2 linked regions of the Coturnix japonica genome follow. The protein of the gene in region 1 purifies or fractionates together with the protein of each later gene. This does not show direct contact. Links are inferred from orthologs where the notes say so. Each region holds a gene or a part of one and is shown in the gene's direction. Other genes may lie near its edges.

Region 1 (3,646 bases):
CAAAGATGTTAAAACTCTGATCTTTTTAAATGGCCGTCAACAACAGCAAAAAATAGAAACTGAGAAAGTAATCTGTACAAGACTAAACTTGGCTCTGCTTTGTGTATACCAGTGTCAGTCACTGCAAAAAAGCTTTTGTGTTTTTCTCTCAGAAATGTCAAAAGTTAGTCAGGATTTGTAATGTGATAGTGATGATACAATCACTATCTACCATACTTATGCTATGGCACAAGTACTCATGAAACATAACAGTGCCCGTATCTCACCACTTTCCATGCCCTAGGCAAGTTTTCAGGCTTTTGTTGCTTTCTTCCAAACTCTTACCATTTATTTTCTTCAAACCAAATTTTTAAATCATAGAATTCTGACCGTCTGAGCCCCCAGTTATCATACTTGTGGTTTCATTTGTGTTATTCTCCCCCCCACACATGAATTTGTGCTCTCTTCTAGCCATTTGGTTAACAAAGATTTTTGTATAGGTAAAATTAGATGTATGCATTGCTGGATATAAGGCCTGACTTAACTTAAGGCCTGGTAGCCCCTGAGTAGTATTTGCTTAACTAGTGGATTAGCTAAAATAACTCTATTGCAGATCACATGTTTTTAAAGAGAAGAGTGGAAGAAAATGCAGGGAGAGAAAAATCACGACCAGTAAAGTGGAAGTGGATATCTTCAGATAACTACAATTTTAGCTGCTTATGCATGTTTTAAGTAGATTTATATACTTTTTTTTCCTGCCAATGAATGAGGGCAACACAAAGTTTGTAGCCAAACCACTTTCTCTTTCTGGAAGTAAATAAAAACAACAATCTCCTACTTGAAACTTAAGTTACCACCTTCTCATGCTGTGTGGGTATCGGGTGCTACGTTTTGGTGTGAGCAGCTGGGTGGGATTTTGGATTGGAATATGTAGTGACATCTGATACCTCTCTCTCTCTCACAGCCAGTCTCTGTTGGAGGGTTGATCGTAAACCTGGTTGGCATCTGTGCCTTTAGCCATGCACATTCCCATGGGGCTTCTCGTGGAGGCTGTCATTCACATGAGCACAGCCATTCTTACCATGGACACAGCCACAGTCATGGGCATGGCCATTCCCACAATGACCATGGGCACAGCCATGGACATTCCCATGTGTCTGCAGGAGGAGGCATGAATACCAACATGAGAGGCAAGTATGGATTGTTGAATCATAAATGACAGATCTGGTCTATAGCAGACTTTGGTGTTTTTAAGTTTTAACCCCAGTACTGCGTATCGTTCTTGAAATCTCCCTCCAGAATATTGCATACATTTATTTCTCAAAGTGTTCATTCATAAGTGAGTTTAACTTGAATTATTTTTTCACATGGCTTTCTGAGACGTGGGTGATACCCAAGGATCAATGCAAAGCATTAATCTTCAGTCTCTATTAACATTAATAACCTTAGTCATCGAAAACCTTACTGAACAAAAATTGAAGCTATCATTACTAAGTCCAGGGGCCATCTCAAAATGCAAGTAGTATGTCTCTGTCTGTAAAGCTAATGCCATACTTCTGGGTATCATGTTACAGCTGGTTGTGAAAGCCCTGGGGGAAGTGATAAAGAAGCAGAAGAGCAAATGCAGACTATCAGTCTGGGATATGAAGCATTATGCTTCTATTTGTGATTCAGAAGATAAGGTGGTAAAGATGAATTTTTTTTCCAGATCTAAAATTGGAAGCTGAGAAGGGCAATGTATAGAGATAATTTTAGAACAGCTACTTCTTGAGACTCTTCTTCCCTACCAGTTAGAAGGCAGTTCTTTACCAACTACATCACTTATACAAGTCTATAAAAGAATGAACTTTTGTGTAAGCTTGTCAGAGCATATGCATTTTAGCTAAGAGTCTTCTTCTGTTTCATAGATTACTTTCCATCAGTCATTAGTTAAGATGATTCTTCTGTTTTCAGGCATTATATTGTAATATCTGCCCATCTCTAACACTGTTCAGCATTCTTTTAAATCCTGGCAGTCAGTAAGTACTAGTCTTACAAGTGACTAGAGATATTTTTTTTCTATACTGTGTCTGAGTTTACACTGGGAATGATGCCAGCCATTAAAGCAGTAAAAGAATTATTCTTAGAGTATGTAGACAATCTTCTTAAAACTTTGAGCAGAGTTAGGCTGTAGAAAAACAAATGGTAGATTAATACCTGTCAGTACGAGCAGCCCAGTGCATTCACAGTGATCTTTTTCTATTCTGTTGAAGATCAATAAGGACTGATCCCTATTATACAAGTCCCACGAACTAAATAAGACTGCGTTTGTATGTGGCTTCATCTGTAAATGTCTGCCTAGATTACTGAAGTGTACTTCCTACCAATGTTGATTTCTAATTAAATACTACTTAAACTGAATGTTTTGATTCATTCTGCAGCAGGTTAGGCAGGTGCTTGAGGGAGGCCAATGTCATAAAAGTGAATTTGTTGCTAATGAACATCTATATTCATCTTAAGCAGCGGTGTTCCTCTTAATCTCTTAATATGTTTTGTTTTCAGGTGTGTTTCTGCATGTGTTAGCAGACACTCTTGGCAGTGTGGGTGTTATAGTGTCTACCACATTTATTCAGCAATTTGGATGGCTGATAGCTGATCCCCTCTGCTCTCTTTTTATTGCTACACTGATTTTTCTCAGTGTTATCCCACTACTGAAAGACGCCTGTCAAGTGCTTTTGTTGAGGATACCTCCAGAACAAGAGAAAGATCTGCATGCTGCTTTAGAAAAGGTCAGTTCTTCTATCCCAGTCTTTTTTATGTTGTTGTACTGTAGAAAACAGCTCTCTGGGCCACCTGGGTCAGCTGTCCCTGCTGTGTCTCTTCCTAGTTTCTGGTGCACCCATAGAAGACTTGCTGTGTTGGATCAAGGTTGGGAAAAAGAGGAACTCTTGACCATAGAGTCATAGAATGTCTGGGGTTGGAAGGAACCTCAGAGATCACCTACTTGCAACTCCCTTGCCACAGGCAGGATGGCCAGCTGCTAGGTAAAAGCTAGAGCAGGCTGCCCAGAATCTACAACCTGTGTTCAGCAGTCAAAAAAACTGCATGTTATCAACACTGTTTTAGCTATGAATCCAGAACAGAATATCATGCAGGCTGCTATGTCCCTACCAGGCCCAGTGCAGTGATCAATTTCTAAAAATGATGAATTATGGAAATATGTTTCTGGAAAACGTACAGCTGTGGTAACTGTACAGTTACCTATCCTGAATAACAATGTGACAGATACCCTATAAGTGACTTAAAGTGCAGGCCAAAGTTGATCTGTCCATAGATGTTACTGAGACTCCTGCAGTTGTGTTTAAGTCAACCCTTTTCATTTTGCCCTCTGCTTGGTTTTCTTTGGGTTGTAACATCTGGTATCTGACAATAGCACGTTGGCCTCCAGGTGCTACGTTATTTCTCTGTCACTTAGCTGGAAATGCAGCTTTGTTTTCCTGTGGAGTATTAGTTATCAGTGTGCATGTACATGTGCAAATTTAAAATGTGTTCATGAAAATCATGTAAATTCTTCACAGATTCAGAAAATAGATGGAGTCATATCCTACAGAGATCCTCATTTTTGGTGTCATTCTGCAAGTGTTGTGGCAGGTACGATACATGTGCAAGTGGTGTCAGATGTGATGGA
Region 2 (4,098 bases), on another chromosome or scaffold:
CATGCTCATTAGAGGCAGTTACCGATTTCACTGTTAGTGTCTCTTGAGCTTCTGGTTAGTATTGAAGGATGTTGTTTTACTCACCTACTTGAGTTTCCATGGTCATCTTAAGAGATGACCAATACATAAAGAGTTTAAGTACTGTAACTTCAACAGGACACAGACATAAACTAGCTTCCTACAAAGGCAGAATCATCTAAAGTACAGGCAGATGTGTGTTATATTCTTTCTGCTTCTCTTGTAAATTGTAAGCTGTCATGATGTAAACTGTTTATTTTGTCAGTAACTACCTCCTGAGTTCAGCAATAATTGACAAGGTAGACCCTCCTCCACTGTATCTAAATGTATCGGTTAAACACTGCAATTCTGTCGGTACTGGTCAGTTTCGTCTTTTTGATTTGCAATTGTCTGTTAGTTTGGTGATTAGACTTTGTCTCCATAAGAAACACTTCTAAAAGTTCTGTTTCAGAGGCTGACTTTGAAGATTGACTTTCTTCGTACTTGGTTAATACAGGTTTATTCTTTCAGGATGCTTAAGATGTGGTCTCAGTTCTGCAGGGTGTTTTTGTTTTTGCCATTGGAAGTGAGAAGTACTTGATGTAATGCTTGTGTACCTATCAAGGGGGCTGAGAACATGGAAACTGTCACAATTCAAATCCTCATTCATGTGAAGGGCTAGTCAGTTTTTTCAGAAGTCTGGATTTAAGTGACACAAGCAGAAGGTGGAGGCAAATTGCTGTCCCCTACCCTGTTAAATACAGTGAATAACTCTGGTTTGAGACAGAGCTGATGCTTGTCTTTGGTTGTGTTGAGGGTCTTATGCCTCAGTGTTCCCTAAAGAACATTTTGTGGAATGTTAAACATGGCTTCATTAATAAGCAATGTAAGGCAGCGTGGTGAGCACTCACACAGCGTCAGCTTCACAATAAAATGTTGCATTTATCCTTTTCTTACTGCTCTCGTCTGTTTATCAGATTAAAACGCCCAAAGCTGCAACCCTTCTTATTAAACCTCAATCTGATTAAGTTGTTACTGCTTTAATAAATGAATCAAGTCAGGTGTTGTGCCTGCTGGATGATGGAACAATAAATACGTCAATACCTCATTTAGTTTCTAAAGGACTTGAGTCAAGTTCTTATTGAGTCAAGTTCTTAGTACTAATATAGGCAAGTGCTGCTATCCGTGACTATCCGGATATCGCTGTGTGGTGCAGCAGGGCGGGGTAAGGCCTGGTGTCCCCGCCCTAGGGGCGCGCTTCCTTTGCCGTCACATCCAGTTCCGCTGTCGCCCCGCAGGCTCTGCAGGTTGCCACAGTGACGGCAGCCCCCTCCGCCTCTTCCGGCCTCGCATGGCGCCGTCTCTTCCGGTGCGGGCAGTACTATGGTGAGCTGGACGCGACAGGGAGGGACGGGCCGGTTGCGGCGGGTGTGAGCGGGGAGCTGTGAGGGCGGGGAGGCGGCTCCCGGGCGGGCCGGGGGGTTCCAGCTCCGAGCTCGGAGCGCGTCGTCTCTCATCCCCCCCTTGTGGCGCCTCCCGCCCCGCTCCCGGGGCAGCCCCGCCGGGCCCGCGGTGACGTGGCCGCCCGTGTTTTCCTTACCGGGTCGGGTCGGATCTCCACGGACACTGCAGCAGGTGGGGGCGCTCCTTGGTGTCCTGGGGGGTTCGGTAGTGATTTGCCTGGAGACAGCGCAGTAAGTGCTTTGCTTTCGCCTCGGGGAACGTGTATTTGCAGTCTGTAGTACTGCGATCTACTTGTGGTACCGACCCAAACGTGGGTGTGCCTGCAGGTACTGAGAGCGGCGTGAAACACGGCTGTATTGACAGGCGTGTCTGTCAGCTGAGTGAGGCTGGTTAGGTGACCGGCTTGGAAACACCTCTCCTGTCGTGAATTCTGCTCTGTGTCAATATGAGGCTTGGTTCTAAGCCAGCCGTAGTCTTGTGGAAACAGAACATGTTATTGAGAGGCACCGTTGAATTTAACTTTAATTATATGTGTCCAGTTCTGGGCTCCCCAGTACAAAAAAGACAGGGATCTCTTGGAAAGAGTCCAGCAGAGGGCTACTAAGATGGTGAAGGGCCTGGAGCATCTCCCCTATGAGGAGAGACTAAGGGAACTGGGTCTGTTTAGCCTTGAGAAAAGAAGGCTGAGAGGAGACTTGATCCAGGTTTATAAATACCTGAGGTGTGGGAGCCATAGTGGTGGGGCTGGTCTCTTTTCAGTAGTGCGTGGGGACAGGACTAGGGGTAATGGGATGAAAGTACAGCATAGGAAGTTCCGCACGAATGTGTGGAAGAACTTCTTTACAGTGAGGGTGACGGAGCACTGGAACAGGCTGCCCAGGGAGGTGGTGGAGTCTCCTTCTCTGGAGATATTTAAGACCCGCCTGGACACCTACCTGTGTGACGTGGTGTAGGGAGCCTGCTTTGGCAGGGGGGTTGGACTCGATGATCTCTAGAGCTCCCTTCCAACCCCTGCAATTCTGTGATTCTGTGATATCATTGAATCACAGTGAGCTTTGAAATAGTTCATAAGTGAAGGTTGTTTTGTTTTGTTTTAAATCTAAACCGGGGGGTTGAGTCAAATATTAAATTAACCTTTAACTTTCTTAAGGGGACAATCCACCTGTTCCGCAAATCACAGAGATCGTTGGTTGGAAAGTTAACACATGAGTTTAGGCTGGTTGCAGCAGATAGAAGGGTGAGTATTTCTTTTGATAAATAAATAATAAAGCTATTAGCTGTGAAATGTTGAGATGAACTATTAATTTAAGCAAATTGTTGGAAATATCTTTTTAAAGTAGCTGTACTTCTTTTAAAAAGTGGCAGTGTTTTAAACTTAGTTTCACATTGAGCTCATGCATCAGGTATTAAGATTATCGTAGTGATGCTGTCTGCTGTAAATACACCAGAGTGTACAGATATCTCATTATTATCAGCACTGTGAATAGTAACGATGCCTTTCTGTCTTTAAATGGAGTTGTACTTTCTGTTAAGTTGGAGTCCTATGGCCTGTCCCTGATAATTAATTTTCCCCAGAGTTGTGCTTATGTTTAATGCATTAGGTAGAACTGTAAGCCAAAGCTGTACAGGTGTTTTTGGGGTCAAAGTTCTAGCATTAAGAAAAAAACCCACTTAGATCTGTACTTCTCTGTCAGAAGGGAGGGCAGGAAATAGAAAGCTGTTATAATTCTGTCTTTAACATTCAGGAAGAATGTGTTGCAATTAGATGCGGAGGGATGTTTTTTCACACCAAAAATGTTTTAAGCATAATATGCAATGCTGATGGAAAATGAGTTTGGGGACAATCTGTACAATGAAAATAGAACATGAGATTGTTACCCTAAAGTGAATTGCATGTTTTTGGGTGAGACACAGGTAGTACTGCTTGCACGATGAAATGCTACAATGTTGTGGTTTTTTACAACAAGATAGGTATGTTTTTGTCTTGTGAATCTTGGAAGATGTAAAATATGTGTTTATTCTCCTCAACAGTCCTGGAAGATCCTGCTGTTCGGTGCTATAAATTTAATATGTATTGGTTTCCTGCTCATGTGGTGCAGCTCTACAAACAGCATAGGTAGGTGGCTTTTTTGCAGTGAAGATTCTAACAGCTGCACTGTGTTTCTGTACCCATAAAGTTCCAGAGTACAGCAAATCAAAGCTCTGCGCATAATGGAATTTGGTGACTGAGAAGCCAGGTCTGGAAAGTGCCGCCTTTTTGTTTGCTATGGTCATTGTGGAAGCATTTACTGTGTTCAGTTTTGGGCCCCTCACTGCAAGAAAGACATTGCGGCCCTGGAACGTGTTCAGAGGAGGGCAACAAAACTGGTGATGGGTCTGGAGCACAGGCCTTACGAGGAGCGGCTGAGGGAGCTGGGATTGTTCAGCCTGGAGAAGAGGAGGCTCAGGGGAGACCTTATAGCTCTCTGTAACTACCTGAGTGGAGGTTGTAGTGAGCTGGGGGTTGGCCTCTTCTCTCATGTAATCGATGATAGAACTAGAGGGAATGGTTTTAAGCTGCGCCAGGGGAGATTCAGGCTGGACATTAGGAAGTATTACTTCTCAGAAAGGGTAGTCAGGCATTGGAATGCACTGCCC

What was found.
Region 2: the proteins of SLC30A5 (region 1) and SLC30A6 purify together in Homo sapiens (co-immunoprecipitation; 5 studies listed by BioGRID and IntAct, with this or other methods). This does not show direct contact. The link is inferred for Coturnix japonica from reciprocal best matches to the Homo sapiens genes SLC30A5 and SLC30A6.

Annotation. Positions count from the first base shown.
Region 1 is NC_029547.1:13,195,081-13,198,726, reverse strand, and holds part of SLC30A5 (zinc transporter 5), read left to right. Parts: intron 1-943; coding exon 944-1,169; intron 1,170-2,520; coding exon 2,521-2,747; intron 2,748-3,536; coding exon 3,537-3,646. UniProt on the Homo sapiens protein: Together with SLC30A6 forms a functional proton-coupled zinc ion antiporter mediating zinc entry into the lumen of organelles along the secretory pathway.
Region 2 is NC_029518.1:30,258,172-30,262,269, reverse strand, and holds the start of SLC30A6 (zinc transporter 6), read left to right. Parts: upstream 1-1,237; 5' UTR 1,238-1,348; coding exon 1,349-1,366; exon of another isoform or gene 1,367-1,380; coding exon of another isoform or gene 1,381-1,383; intron 1,384-1,522; exon of another isoform or gene 1,523-1,691; intron 1,692-2,611; coding exon 2,612-2,698; intron 2,699-3,492; coding exon 3,493-3,577; intron 3,578-4,098. UniProt on the Homo sapiens protein: Has probably no intrinsic transporter activity but together with SLC30A5 forms a functional zinc ion:proton antiporter heterodimer, mediating zinc entry into the lumen of organelles along the secretory pathway.